Drosophila melanogaster: one gene and its partner. The gene in region 1 interacts genetically with each later gene. Each region holds a gene or a part of one and is shown in the gene's direction. Other genes may lie near its edges.

Region 1 (8,425 bases):
TTTTTAATCAAATTTCTTTTTTCGACGGTACAATGCTTTATGCGACCCATGACTTGAGAATTTTGGGCCTTCGTTTGGAAAAAATTCAATTAAAACCTTCAATTCAATTCCTTTTTATAAAATGTGTGGAAAAAAAAACCCAAAGCAATCACTTCTATTAATATTATTCAGCAAATACGTGGTCAGTGCTATGTTTGTTACCGCCTAATTTCGCGCACTTTTGCAGCAAGTGCCCAAAAACAAAAAGAACCGTTACGTTGAGAGAGTAAAAATTTATTGCTCAGAGAGACCACATATGGTACTTATTATTCATGCAATCTGACTTAAAAAAAAAACATTTAATAATTTTTTTTTAGGAAATCAACTTTCCACCTGCAGTAGTGCTATTATTTTAACCGCAGCTCTATATCGGTTAAGTTTTCATTATTTGGGGGTCTATCAATTGACATCAGGGAGATGATTTTGTAATGTAATTTGTCTGTTTTTTAATTAATAATTTTGGGAAGTGCTGTTGCTTCTTTGCTTATTCTCTTTATTCAGGAACTATATAAGCTAAAAAGTTAAGATTAAATATGGCGATTCTAGAATCTCCGCAATTTGTTTTAAGAATAGATCATTTTATTCAATTTCTAAACATATTTATTCCTAGGGGATTTTCTAGGGAGAGTATCTTGCTTTTGGCTGCAGATCGCAATATGTAATTCCAGGTCCTAAGCAAGAGGCGAAGCCCATCAAATGAGGCAAGGTGCTTTGTTCGTAAACTCCAGTGAAAAGATGAGACCATGGACCTTGAAGAAGATATTCCACAACTTTATACATTTCAAGAGTTTTGATTAAATGCTTGGATTTAAGATTATATATATCATTCAAAACCCATCTAAAAAAAAAAACTTAAAAACCAAAAAAACATGAACTCACCATGAGCATAGACGGCCACATCGCCACCGCCGTGTGTCTCCTCGGTCATGGGCACTCCATGTGGATAGATGGCATCCGGTTTGGAAAAGTCCAGGTTACGGAGATCAACGCGCTCCACCACTCCGTCCGTCGATTTGTAGAATCTCTCGTAGGCCGGGCCGTTGGCATATGAGATGGACGTGTAGGGCAGCTGGTCCACATTACTTAGCTCGGAATTGAGTCCTACTATGCTGTTGTTAACATCCGGATAGCCGCTGATCGTGACCGTGTGTCCGTGATCCGCACTCACCACAATTAAGGTGTCCCAGGGATTGGTGAGTTGTCGTGCCTTTCTCACTGCGTCCGAAAACTGAACGGTTTCATCCAAGGCCTTCTTGGCCTTGGTCTCATGATGGGCGTGATCGATTCGACCGCCTTCCACGAAAAGGAAATACCCGTTTGGATCTCGGGAAAGCACATTTATGGCCGCTGCCGTCATCTCGGGTAGCGTGGGTGTGTCTATGCTGTCGTCCATGTGGTACGCCAAGTGAGAGGCATTGAAGAGCCCCAGCAGGAAGTCAGTGTTCTGCGCATCATTGTTCAGGAGATCCGTACGACTAAACACCACCCTAGCATTACCCGGCTTTGTTTGTTGCCATTCCTCAATGAGGTTCCTATTATCCAACCGCTGGCCCTTGTTTCCGAACACATCGTTCGTGGTATTGGGCAAGAATTTAATGGTTCCACCGCCCATGACCACACGCAGTCGCTTGCCCACATCTCCGTCTATCAATTGCTGGGCGATATCCGGACAGTTTCCTGGATTTTGACCCAATTTGGTCACGTCGTAGTCGCTCTCGAAATCGCGATTCGAAGTGTGCGCATAAACTCCGGCCGGACTGGCGTGGGTAACCCGAGTGGTGGTCACCAATCCAGCGGATTTGCTACCTTTAAGCGCCCAGGCGGCAATCGAGGAGAGCCTATTCTGCGGCAAGCGCGATCCCCTGCAGTCGTTCAACTCCACATCGGCTGTCACTCCGATGGTCAGATAGTTCGCCTTGATCCCCGACAGATAGGCCGATGCTGTGCAGGCGGAGTCAGCCACTTGCTTATTGACGCAATAAGTCTACAATGACAGAAGGGCGTAATTACTGTCTAGTTATTAACGGACTTAATAAATTTATTAGCAGTTTATTGAGATAACAAATGACTTCGTTGACTTCTAAGTACCTTGGACAGACCGACATAGTTGAATTTCTCGAACTCCAGACGATTCCGTTCGCCCACCACTCCACGCAGCTGTCCATCGAAGATCCTGCCTGCGGTTACCGTGGGAACGGACATACCGTCGCCCAGGAAAAATATGACATTCTTGGCACGATATTGGTTTGGTGGAGTGGATAGCTTATTGTAGAGCGTGCGCTGGGCGTCGTGAAACCAGAACTCCTTGCTCTTCAACTCGGAAATAGAGTCGAGGTCCCAGGATTGCTCTGAAAGTAATGCGATTTTAGCTTATTTCATTATAAATTAAGAATGCATATTATTCTGATTAATTGAAACCATTTTTTGTTACTAGCCGATATGCATACACATTTCAAGTACAACCTCAAGAATTTATCAATTCCAAGCACATGTTTCGTTTTACAAAACAAAAGCACAGACACAATTGCCATTGTTTTCCACTCCACTTTCGAATTAATCATTAAAAAGGGAAATTGCTTTCAGAAGATAGCACATAAATAAAACACCGAAAGAAACCTATGGAAATTAAGCATTAAAATTAATTCAAATTTAAATTTTAAAGTATTAGTCTTATATCCACTTTCGTTAAAACATTCTCCTTCGGAAAAAGTGATGTTTGACAGCTCTGTTAGCGGGTGTCAAATATTTAATTCAATTTACGAGTATTTTGCTGACGCCTTTTATACTCCGTTTAGCACTTGATTAATCAATTCTGCATATGTTTTGAGTTTGCTTTCGACCTGGCACACTCTCACTCGTTTTTCATTTATTCATTTCGGGTCTTTTGGGCCCGTTTCTGATCTCGGTCTTGACGTTACGCACCTGGCCCATATTTGTACTGGCTGCTACAGGCCGTGAGTTGGAGGGCAAGAGCCGCAAAGAACCGGAGAGCACGCATCGCACGGAATTTTGATGAACTAACTTTCGACTGGTCGGGGCGTTACGAAGTCTACGGATCGACTAAGCCGCATTTCGCAGTTGGAGGCTTATTTATACGAGCCCGGTAAGACAGGGACCGAAAATGCGAGTCGAATTATAAAAAAACACTGAGACAATAAATTAAAACCCGTCCCTGTATTATAAAGCTTCTAAATACACCTACCAACCGGAATTTCGGGATGAAAGAAAGGCATTTATGCCCTTATTCAAATTATGCAGCCAGCACAGCTTAGATTAAAATGATGTTCTCCAAAAATCAGGTTCGTTGCATTGGTCATTTGCATAATATCTTGCATCGCAGTAGGAGATGATGTAATTAGTGGATGCATCGAAGCAGCCTAATTCATTCTGCGATCTAAAGTTCATTAACCGTGCCAAACACCGGATACTGATAAATATCTCCAATACACTAATTTGTAACGTTAATTTGAATTAAGTTGCTTTTGATTTTTTTTATAAACGAGTTGCACTTATTTTGTCTACCAGTTATTTGACTTTTTTAAGAAAAGTAATAATCTTCAATTTTATTTCTGCTAAACAGGTTTCAAATACCCTGAGTTGTACAATGTTAAATTTTAAGTTTTGAATAACATTCTGGGTAAGCAAAATAGTTTTGTATACCTACATTATTATTAAATTTGGTATGAACATATTTATTGAACGGAAGGAAAACTGTCTAAAATTCGACTTATTTGTTTTATAAGGCATCATTGTTGGTCATTTTCATTTCTATACGACATTTTCCTAATCTAACATTTTAATTTTGGAGAAAAAGTGCAAAATAATAATTTATAATTTTGAATAATAACATTAAGCAGTTCATTTTAGACATGGATCGATTTTCAATAATAAATCTCAGGACTTATATACATTTTCGAGACAAAATATAGGGGGAAGAATATAATTAAAATGCAGTTCTATATATCTGCTATTTGAATGCCGCGCCAGATATCGATATAATTGAAGTGCTGTAAAGCGTAGCAAGGAAGTGATGCTAAACGCATCACGCGCTAAGGCACTTTTGGGTATTAGTCGAAAGTGACTTTCTCACAAGTTGGCAGTTCCATTCCAATTGTTGTAAAAACCTAGCTAAAATTTCAGTTTTGCGAACATTCCGCCTACTTAAATCAACAAATTTCAGATTGCGAAACGCGTAAAAAGTGCGAAGGAAATGCTCTAAGATCAAGGTCACCGGCGAAGGTCACCAACGACAGCTAGGGCAACCACAAAAGGTGTGTGGCTGTGCAGCAAACAAAGGGAATGCGAATTGCAAACATTCCGACAAACAGACAAACTAACAAACAAGCACGAATATAGAATATAGAATCAAGAACCTGGCTGAGACGCATAAAAGCGAATGTGATATAAGTGGGCCACGGGGCTAATTCGATTGTCTGTCTCTCCAGGAACAACTTGTCTCCAGCGATAACTCGAAGGTCATCAAAGTGTCTGCCTACGAAAGCATGGACTTACAGCATATGGAGAATGGTCTAAGCGGCGGGGGAGGAGGTGGCCTAAGCGAAATAGATTTCCAAAGGCTGGCCCAGATTATAGCCACCAGCATCCAGAAGGTGCAGCAGAATGGTGAGTGGCGTCGAAGCACTTGCCAACTTTCGCCTATGACTAATCTAGGTTTCTGTCTCTTTCGCAGTGTCCACGATGCAGCGCATGGTCAATCAACTGAACACGCCCCAAGATTCTCCGGAGCTCAAGAAGCAGCTGTAAGATGATTATCATTACGATCTCTTCGTTTGGAATTTAAACTGTCCCCATAGATAGAACCCATTGCAGATATACATCGATTATTCGAATATCTCTCAGACAAATCATAAATTCTAAAGACATAGTGAAGATCTCTATTGGGTGTTTACTCACAATGTCTAAAAATCTTCTTAAGCCAATACAGCCTTTTAATACATTTTGCGCACATCAACCGACCACATAAACCAACAGCAAAATAACATTGTAGTCAGTCATTGGTTTTGAAAGTTTAAACGTATCAGCACAGTGTGATTCACAAATCAAATCAATGTATAACGCACGATAAAAATAACAATCCCTTACTCCACAGCCACCAAATAATGACCTACACCAACCAGCTGGTGACCGACACAAACAATCAAATCAACGAGGTGGACAAGTGCAAGGAGCGCCACCTGAAGATCCAGCGGGATAGGCTCGTGGACGAGTTCACGGCGGCACTGACCGCCTTCCAGGTTTGTTTTTGTTCTCCCAGATAAGCAAATGGTTTTGTGAGTCATGCTGATTGTTTATCATTGGTATTTTTAGTCTGTTCAGCGCAAGACGGCGGACATAGAGAAGACGGCGTTGCGGCAGGCGCGCGGAGATAGCTACAACATCGCCCGTCCACCCGGCTCATCGCGTACCGGCAGCTCCAACAGTAGCGCCAGCCAGCAGGACAACAACTCCTTCTTCGAGGACAACTTCTTCAATCGCAAATCAAACCAGCAACAGATGCAGACTCAGATGGAGGAGCAGGCGGACCTGCAGGCCCTCGAGGAACAGGAGCAGGTCATACGGGAGTTGGAGAACAACATCGTGGGCGTGAACGAGATATACAAGAAGCTTGGCGCCCTGGTCTACGAGCAGGGACTGACGGTGGACTCCATCGAGTCGCAGGTGGAACAGACTAGCATTTTTGTCTCGCAGGGCACGGAAAATCTGCGCAAGGCGAGCTCTTACAGGGTAAGTGCCGCCCCTACAAGGTTATTATTTTAAATAATTTAAATATGTTGTTTATTAGAACAAAGTGCGCAAGAAGAAGCTTATTTTGGTGGGCATCCTGAGCGCCGTGCTGCTGGCCATCATCTTGATACTCGTTTTTCAGTTCAAGAATTAGAGCCTTCCGGCATCTCCGAATGATTCAAACCAAACTAGTAAATTGTTGTGAAAAGACAAGAGTTGCCGCATGCAGGCCCCTAAACCCCGTAATTCCCCACCCAATCCTTTGGACCTTAGGCGAGATTATGGCTTTAATCCTTAATCCAACTTCCAATACTGGCTGAAATCGAAAACTGCGACTCGTAGACGAAGATATAGTGTTTTGAGGAGTATTCACCGGCACGTGCATCTGTTATATTTGCTTTAAAAACAATTTTATATTTTATGTGTACTACTTTTATTATTACGCACCCTGTATATTGATTATTAGTATTGATTAACAACTGTTGGCTTCAAATTCTAATTATGTTCCGAAACTCATTCGCCAGCGCTTTGTATTGTATTGTATTGTATTTAGAGTTAAGAGGCAGAGGAAGCCATATATGCGATGGCATACACACATGTACGAAAAATGAAATAATAAACATGAAAATCGATCCTGCGTGCGTTGAAAACACTTGGAGCACTTCATTTAGGGCCCGACCTGAATGAATCAATGAATGGAACTCGCCAGCTCTTCTGGGCATTCGGAGAAGTGCATGGTCATCGACTCCTCCTTGGCTTAGCGATCATTAAGATTTCGTGTTGGCCATTGTTACGCATGCTTTAGCGGCTTAGGAGCTCCCATCTCCCGACTCCCAACCCGATCTCGATCCCAAAACATTGGTACCAATCCGACTATGTGTTCAGCGAGCGCACACTCTCCGATGGCACATTAATGCCGCGACAGACCTGGATGCGGTGGACCCACTTCAGCTTGCTGCATCGTTGAGGTGTGTCAGCCGGGGCTAAAGGGTTTCCTCGTCGCCGGACCCCATCTTCCTCCACATTTGAAATTCCAGCTCCGCAGGCCTGCATACAAATTGAGTTTAAATTTTTTGCCAATTCACTGACATTGATAGTTCGTTTGGGCATCATTTGTGTGGTGGCTTCTTATCCACTTGTTGGCATCGAGTGGTTTTCTCGCATGCATTTAAGTGCAGCTCATTTCCTTCTCGAACTCGCCCCGGGGCTCGCCAACAATCATTTCCCGCCAAGTCATCCAGTTTTTTCTGGCCCAAGTCGTTTCGGATCTCTGCCCTGTGGTTCGCGGGGTATATTGAATCATTCAGGAGAGTGGATTAGGTATTTCAAATGGGGAAAAGTGTGTTATTTTCAAACTAAAAGGTGAGTAATTACTATTATAATTGTGGTAATGATATATAATTTATAATGTTATTTATTAAATCGCTGTAATATTTTCATGTTAATAATTGGCCTAATCTGATTCTTAGATATATTTGCTGGTAAATTTAATTCTTTTACCTAAAATCGTAACTATTATTGAGTTTAATTTTCAAAATATTTCTGAGTTCGCAGAGTATCTGAAAATGCCCCTGAGGGAATTCTTACCCATTTTCTGGTTGTTTCTTTTGGTCCGCTTGGCTGTCAGTGGTTGTCCAAATACGTCACCGAGCTGCCCGACCAAGTCGACTGGGAATTATTGATTACTCGTCCGTGGGGCCAAGGGTTAGGCCCCGATTGTTGCACGGGCATCACGGCCTAATCACATCGATTATGACTACATGCGGCACTTGGCAGGTTGGGCAGTGGACAAACCGGGACCAAATCCCGACCCGGGGCCATGGGTCACGTTGTGAGCTCGAGTGGCGGAGGTGTTGGAAATTAAGAGAAACTATGCACACCTACATGGCCCACGGAAACACAGCAGGTAGTCAGTCGTCCGGCTGTCTTGGCCAAAAGGCTGCTGTTTGCATAGGCCGTAGTCGCTAAACCTGGAACCATGACAATATTGACATCTTCGGTGGTCGACGGACATAGCCACCGAATCTCATTTGCAAAGTCATTTTGTCCAAATAAATCCAGCCTCCGTCTTTGGTGATTTTCCCAGCATAATAATGTGCGACCGAACACAAGCCGCATGTTTTGACTTTGGATGGCAGTGGAACGTAGAATGGCCAGTGGAAATTCCGGAACTTGGTAAGCGCTGGATTGACTTACCAACTTGCTAGCCAGGATTTTGAAATTTCTGGTCCTGGGAAAATTGCAGTTTAGAGGGGAAAACTGTGAAATGGCAATCGCGCATCTTCCGGCTCCTAAACCCCGATAATCCCTGCACATTTCGCACGTTGCTTTGCAATCAGTTCCCTTCTACGTACATATAACTCTGATGATTGTAGCAATGATGAGGTTGTTGTGCGTGGTGGATAAACATCCGGTTTATGGCATTTCCCAAATCAATAAACTTATTATTATCCCATTTCCAACTCTACCAACGCTACCGCGCCTCCCATTTTATTTGGAAAAATTCTTAATTACGCGTTCTTATGAATGGAAGACGTAGTGGCTCGATTCTTCTGCTCTTACAGCATCTTAAGTGGAAATACTTGCCGTGGAGGGCTGTAAATCTTTTGAATTTTTATTAAAAACAAAAATACCAAATCAA
Region 2 (6,395 bases), on another chromosome or scaffold:
AGAGGATTATGCACAGGTAAAAGCCTATATGGAGGCTGAGTACTACACATCGGAGCCTCTGTGCCAGTCCAGCGGCGAACCCGTTCACCAGCAGAACGAGGAGATCAACGACGCCTTCAACCAGTCGATAATCGCCGAGGGCACCAGCCTTTTGGCACTGGATGAAAACGATGGTGGCCGGATTGTGGGTCTAGTTCTGGCATGTGCCAGTTATCCCGATAATGTGAATGCAGGAACATTGAATTTGAAGCTCGAGAATGTGGAGGATAACGCTTGGGGTCGAATGTATCATTTACTAATGAAGGCCAAGCGCGAAGTCAATCTGTTTGAGCGCTACGACATCCCGAAGGCGCTCTACTCCCACGTGACCAGCGTGGCCTCGTGGAAGAGGGGCAAGGGCCTGGGCTCCCGCCTGGCCGCCACCCTGATGGAGCTGGGCCGATCGAATGGTTTCCCCCTTATGATGGCCTTCTGCACTAGCTTCTACTCCGCTCGCCAGAAGGGGGCCTTGGGCATGGAGTGCATCTATTCCATCGACTACGCCGACTATAAGGACGATGAAGGACGAGTGATCTTCACACCGGCAGCCCCACACACAAAGCTGCGAGTGATGGCAATCAAACTGTGACAGTTGATAACAAATAACTGAGTCGAGGAATTTAAATAAATTATATAACTATAGTTATGTTTATTTAATACTTAGCACACTTTTGGGGGACCTATACAAGTTGACCAATGACCAATGTGTCTCGGACTTTAAGATAAGAGGCAAGATCTTGCACTGCTTTATTCTTTCGGTTCATAGTAAACAATTCAAACGGACGCGCCAAAATACAAAAACGTCCTTATCGATAACTCGGAAAGCAATTGGTTTTGATAATTAATCAAATTGATGTGTGCGATAGTTTCCGCTCACCGACCATCGCCCACCGCTAGCTGTCATTCGGCGACGCGACGAACTGAAATCAACGTGCTTATTTTCCGCTCGGTAATTTGCCAGAAAAAAACTAATCGAAATGGGCGTACAAGTAGTTCCAATTGCTCCTGGTGATGGTGAGTATCCAATGATTGGGTTAGAATCCGCAAGAAATGCCGTAAACTACCGGCCTTTCTAACCTATTTAGTGCATTTTCGCAATGCACAATTCGGAAATACCTGCGACAATATGGTCGTCCCGCTCACACACATCCATTTTTGCATTCCCCGCCCGCAGGCAGCACCTATCCCAAGAATGGCCAAAAGGTCACGGTCCACTACACCGGCACCCTGGACGATGGCACCAAGGTGAGTACGAATCCCGATCCTCGCCATCCCCAGCTAATGATCCGCCTTGAATTCCACGCAGTTCGATTCGTCGCGCGACCGCAACAAGCCATTCAAGTTCACCATCGGCAAGGGCGAGGTCATCCGTGGCTGGGATGAGGGAGTTGCCCAGTTGAGCGTCGGCCAGCGCGCCAAGCTGATTTGCTCGCCGGACTATGCCTACGGTAGCCGTGGCCACCCCGGCGTCATTCCGCCCAACTCCACCCTCACCTTCGACGTCGAGCTGCTCAAGGTCGAATAGGCGCACAGGATGCCCAATGTGTATACCCCAAACCAAATCGCAGGGGGTTGCGGACCGGCGCACCGGCGACGAGCCGAAGAACATCATAATCGGAACCAGAACAATCCAGCAGCATTTGCCAACCCAAAATAATAATGATAACTTCATACACAGCTCTAAACTAGAACTAATTTAACCGCAAAGGGAACGCATCTTCTACCAATACAAATAAACATTTATTCAAGTCAATGACAAATGTCTTTCTTATCAAAAATCTTGGGATAATCCAATCAAATCAGCTGCGGTTGCCTTTCCGTGCTGCAATACAAATGCATTTCATATTATTTTTTAATCAGGAAAATATGCAAATATAAAAACGCTTTATCATTCTCTTGATAGACTTGAAGTGGTCTACTTGACAAATTTGATTTTATTTTATATAAGTATATAAAGTGTACAAGCATCTTATTTGCATATATATTCGATTTGGAAACAGGATTTTTTTTAATTCTTTGTGCACAATTAATCCAAATTATTTTTCATTTTCTATACCACTTCCAAAATCACCTAGATACGCTTCAGTTTTTGCAGACCAAGCTCATAATCTTGTCAATAACTTCATATCGCTCCTTTTCATACTTCTTGATATGCTTTATCCAGTGTCCGCGCACTTTCTTCCAGCGGTTCATATTGGAGGACAGAAGATCGGAGGTACTGGCACCTTGGAGAGCCTTTTCCCGCTTCTTGTCCTCCTGGCTGAACTCCAGACGAGGCGGAATTATGGGCAGATCCGTGGACTTGGCCTGCGGGAGCTGGTTGATCACCTTTATCTCGCCGCTTTTAATTTGGGACAGGATTTCTTCGCCGTTGTCCTCACGTTTGGTGGCCGTGAGTGAAGCATCTGTTTGAAATGCACCCACAGCTGGATTCTTGGGTTGATTTGCCATCCATGCGCGGCATATGGGGTACAAAGGAGTCTTATCCTGGTATTTGGACAGGTCCAAACTTCGCTCAAACAGGCGCATTACGTAGGTCTCGCCGGGCGCCTTCTGGGCGACTGCCGCTGCTCCAACGCTCTTCTTGTAGAGCACTCTCCTGGCCTTGATGCGTCCTCCGGCGCCGGCTGCGGCTGCACTCGAGGATGTCGAAGGCTTCTCGCTAGAGCCCGACGTGACCGTCTTGACTTTCGGATCTAGCTTTACCTGGTACTGACGCTGCTGTTGCTGCTGGATGAGCAGCTTCTTCGAGGGACGGCCCCGAATGGGCAAATCCGACTCTGCGTCGTCGTCCGGCGGCAGGTTTGTCGTCTCTGGTTTCTGCTCCTCACGGCGCGACTCCCGCAAGCGCAGGGCCGTTTCCTTCTTTTTCGGCACAGTCTTCATTTCCAGAAATCTTGTATTCGACACGAAAATTAAGGGAAAACAATTTCGAATGCCGAATCGGAAATCAAACGGACTTACGGCGCTTCACAACACTGAAACACCACTTCGCCACGCAACACTACATAAGTCAGTGGTATTTCAAAAAATACCATAAATTAAAGAAAACAAACGGTCTTGGCGCCTAACGCTAGCTTGAGAAATAATTCTTTGAATTATTTGTAGCTTAAATGAAAAGAAAAAAGAATAACATATATATTTTTAAACAAAAACTTAATACACATTAATATTTGACTATTCAAAAATATTTAATAGACTTTGATTGTTAAATTAATACTTTTGTAGATTAAAAAAAAAAAAACAAGGAAATGAAAGTCTTAAAAATTTGGTATTTCTCGATTTGGTAATTTTAACCCAAAACCTTTCGGGCTTTTCAACCCACCTTTTATGGTCACACTGCTGTTTTGTGATCGCGAAAAGAGCGACGTGAAAAATACATTTAATTAAGTTTACTGCGAAAAATAAAATAAATAACTAAATTAAAACAAAGCGGAGCTTTTGCGTGAACTGTGTGTGTAGTTGTGAGTGTGTGAGAAAAGAAAAACGAAAACAAAGCCAACGAGGAAATCGAAGGGGCAAAAGTGGAAAAGATTCAGATTGAAAAGCACCAAAATATCGAAATCACAATTTGAATGTCAAAGAACAAACGACAAAAAGAGCGGAGCAACAAAGGAACATTGGAAAAGTCAAGAATTTAACTTATTCGGTAAGGATGCAAATTGTAAATCTGTGGATTTTGCTTCTTCTGCTCACGCACACATCCACATACAATTGGGAAGTGCACAGGTGTGGGTGGATCTGCTCTGTGTGCAAATAACAAATTGTGAAAAACAACTCGCACACATGCAGATCACCTAGTGCACCAAATAAAAGCAATAAATAAACACATTTCCAAACGGGCAACAAGTTGTGAATGCGTTTTTTAAGGGGGAGGGGCCATACCAAGTTTCCCAACGTTTCACATTTTCAATCGATCTCGGTTGTTTTTATATATGTATGGATATTTTTTATCTACTATTGCGTAGCTGCCAATGTCACCTGTTTTTTGCTCTCTCTCTCTCTCTCTCTTGCGCTCTCTCCCTCCCTCTCGCTCGCACCCACGCTGGCTGTAGCTGGTTTTTATCTTGTGCCGTTAACACAGCCATTACGTGTCTCTTTCGCACTCGCACTGCACATTGGTGTTCGTGTGTCTGTGCAAGACTGCACGTAACTGTATTACCCATTCGTACATGCGTATACGTATTTCCGCCTATTGATAACGGCTGAAACTCCCTCGAAATGGCCGTCTTTTCGAAATATGTAAACGAATCGTTCGGGTACATCCCCCGACCACCACCCACCCACCGCCCACTCAACCCCCTCCAAGCGCTTCTAATCGCAAAGTGCAAATATTGATTTGCTATGTGTGCTTTTAGATTTTCTCCCACTATCAATAACAATAAGCGCTCTCTGTACGTTGTTTTTGCTTCGGTTTGGTTTCGTATTAAGAAAACAAGTTCACAAGTTTTTGCACTTGTTATGCACTGTAAGAAAAACGCAAGTTTTATTCAAGAGCTCCGCATTACCGCATTATATTGCCAATTGTGAAACTTTTATAATATTTATACTAGCAGCTTAGTTTTGTAACTTTCGGAAATAAAAAGTTTTGGTAAAACAAACAAGAAACATTTTATTTATTTTTTTAAGTGTTGATCATTGTTGCTGTTTCGTTTTGTGACTTTGTTTATGTGGCGGTTTTCTTGTAATTGCGGGAATTTCCCGGCATTTCAGCAGTTGAGAGTGCAAATATAAAGCAGAGAGAGAAACCCTCATCTGTTTGTGATTATCTGAATTCTTCTTCCGTATTTAAGCGTTAACTCTGCTTTTGAGCGACAAGGCTGTTAAATATTTTCAGCTATAACACCAAAATTACCCTTTATCTCGCAATATATTAATAAATACAAGTCTCCAAAAGACGTCATAAATTAAAACGCGATTTAAATGACGTTTAAAGCGACTTCTAATTTATGTATGTTTATCACGAACTAAAAATTTAATTACTTTATAAATTTTAAATTCTCAAGATAGTGAGCAACTATGTATGTTTTAAAGAAAAAATTGTTGGAGTTCCACAAAATTTCGTTTGAAAAATTGAGTTTTTATGTACCAAATATGCAAATCAAATGAAACTTAAAAGCTGACTTAGAAATCCTTTTGTTTATATGGGTGAAACTAAATAAATCCTTTTGTTTATGTAAATCACGTTCGATTGTGTGCTTATTCCACGCATTAATAACTGCCTTACTCCATGCACAGAGTACAGCTTTTTTGAATGTCATGCTGATATGACAGAGCTGAAACGCTCTTCTGACATAATAGATTAATACGTATAGACTCATTTTCATAACGTTGGTCCTTCTATTCAAATACTGTATCAGCAAAACTTAAGAATCTTACATCTAAGTGTTTAACCTACTTGAGTAACTACTGTACGGTGTATTCCTGCGATCTCAATGAAAACTTTCCCATCAATTTAAATCTATCTTATCGCCAGCAATTTTGTTGATATTTAGCTTCGGGAAGGGACGAGTTCAGGAAAATATATAGTATATGTGTGTGTACATATGTATGTCCCCTGTTGCGAAGAGACACAAATGTCGCGCGATAACGTGGGCAACCGCAGCACACCTGGTTGGATTTGGACATCGACTAAAAATAACTCCGCTTCGATTATTTTCACAAATTTGAAAAGGCAAATTGCGGCGATTGGAGGGTTCATCACAAGCCTCCAACATCGATAAATGAATACCGTGTATTAGTTATTATTTCAGAGGAGACAGGCGAGGTGTTCCACTTTGATTTTCCATAGCGATCGCTAAGTTCCATTGCCCCTCCGAGTTTGATTCCCATGCCCATATTCAATTCTAGAATTCGGCAATGACGTCAAGGCCTGACGTCTGCAGAAAATTCCGCAAAACGCCTCTTCAAATTATTGGCGAGGCAAGAAAAGCAAAAGAAAATCGGCGAGCGAGCAGCGAAATACAAAATAAAATTATTTTCGTTCCATTTTTCGTCTTTTGGTATTTTGTGTGGCTGCTTCCATTCCATTTCATGTCTCTGCATTTGATTTATAATTTTCACAATTCACATACTTTTCGTTGCTCTATCTCTTTTTTATTTAATTTCCGACTCGTTTTTTTTTTTTTTTTTTTTTTGCGACAAAGTGAAAGTTGTTTTCCATGTTATTTACTGCTGCCTCTTTCCTTCGTTTATTCCCTTCGCATTCCCTTTCCCGTTCTTTTCGTCTGTCCATATGTTTTGTGTTTCAAAACCAAGTTGAAGGTGCGGGAGGGACGCCATCTAGTACGTAGTTCCTTTCGCAATTATTTTTGTATTCAAGCATATTTTTGGCGATTTTTTGTTATTTATATATG

The links.
Region 2: of Syx7 (region 1) and Tab2, changing one suppresses a phenotype caused by changing the other (phenotypic suppression), as found in Drosophila melanogaster (one study listed by BioGRID).

Annotation. Positions count from the first base shown.
Region 1 is NT_037436.4:21,441,714-21,450,138, forward strand, and holds Syx7 (syntaxin 7), read left to right. Parts: upstream 1-4,120; 5' UTR 4,121-4,310; intron 4,311-4,447; 5' UTR 4,448-4,541; coding exon 4,542-4,662; intron 4,663-4,729; coding exon 4,730-4,799; intron 4,800-5,149; coding exon 5,150-5,294; intron 5,295-5,367; coding exon 5,368-5,784; intron 5,785-5,842; coding exon 5,843-5,938; 3' UTR 5,939-6,415; downstream 6,416-8,425. Other genes in the region: Alp1 (alkaline phosphatase 1), read right to left, coding at 658-809, 919-2,023, 2,128-2,387, 2,962-3,037.
Region 2 is NT_033778.4:19,289,173-19,295,567, forward strand, and holds the start of Tab2 (TAK1-associated binding protein 2), read left to right. Parts: upstream 1-3,356; 5' UTR 3,357-3,688; intron 3,689-6,395. Other genes in the region: AANATL4 (arylalkylamine N-acetyltransferase-like 4), read left to right, coding at 1-628; Fkbp12 (FK506-binding protein 12kD), read left to right, coding at 1,017-1,053, 1,214-1,284, 1,346-1,564; mip40 (Myb-interacting protein 40), read right to left, coding at 2,122-2,925.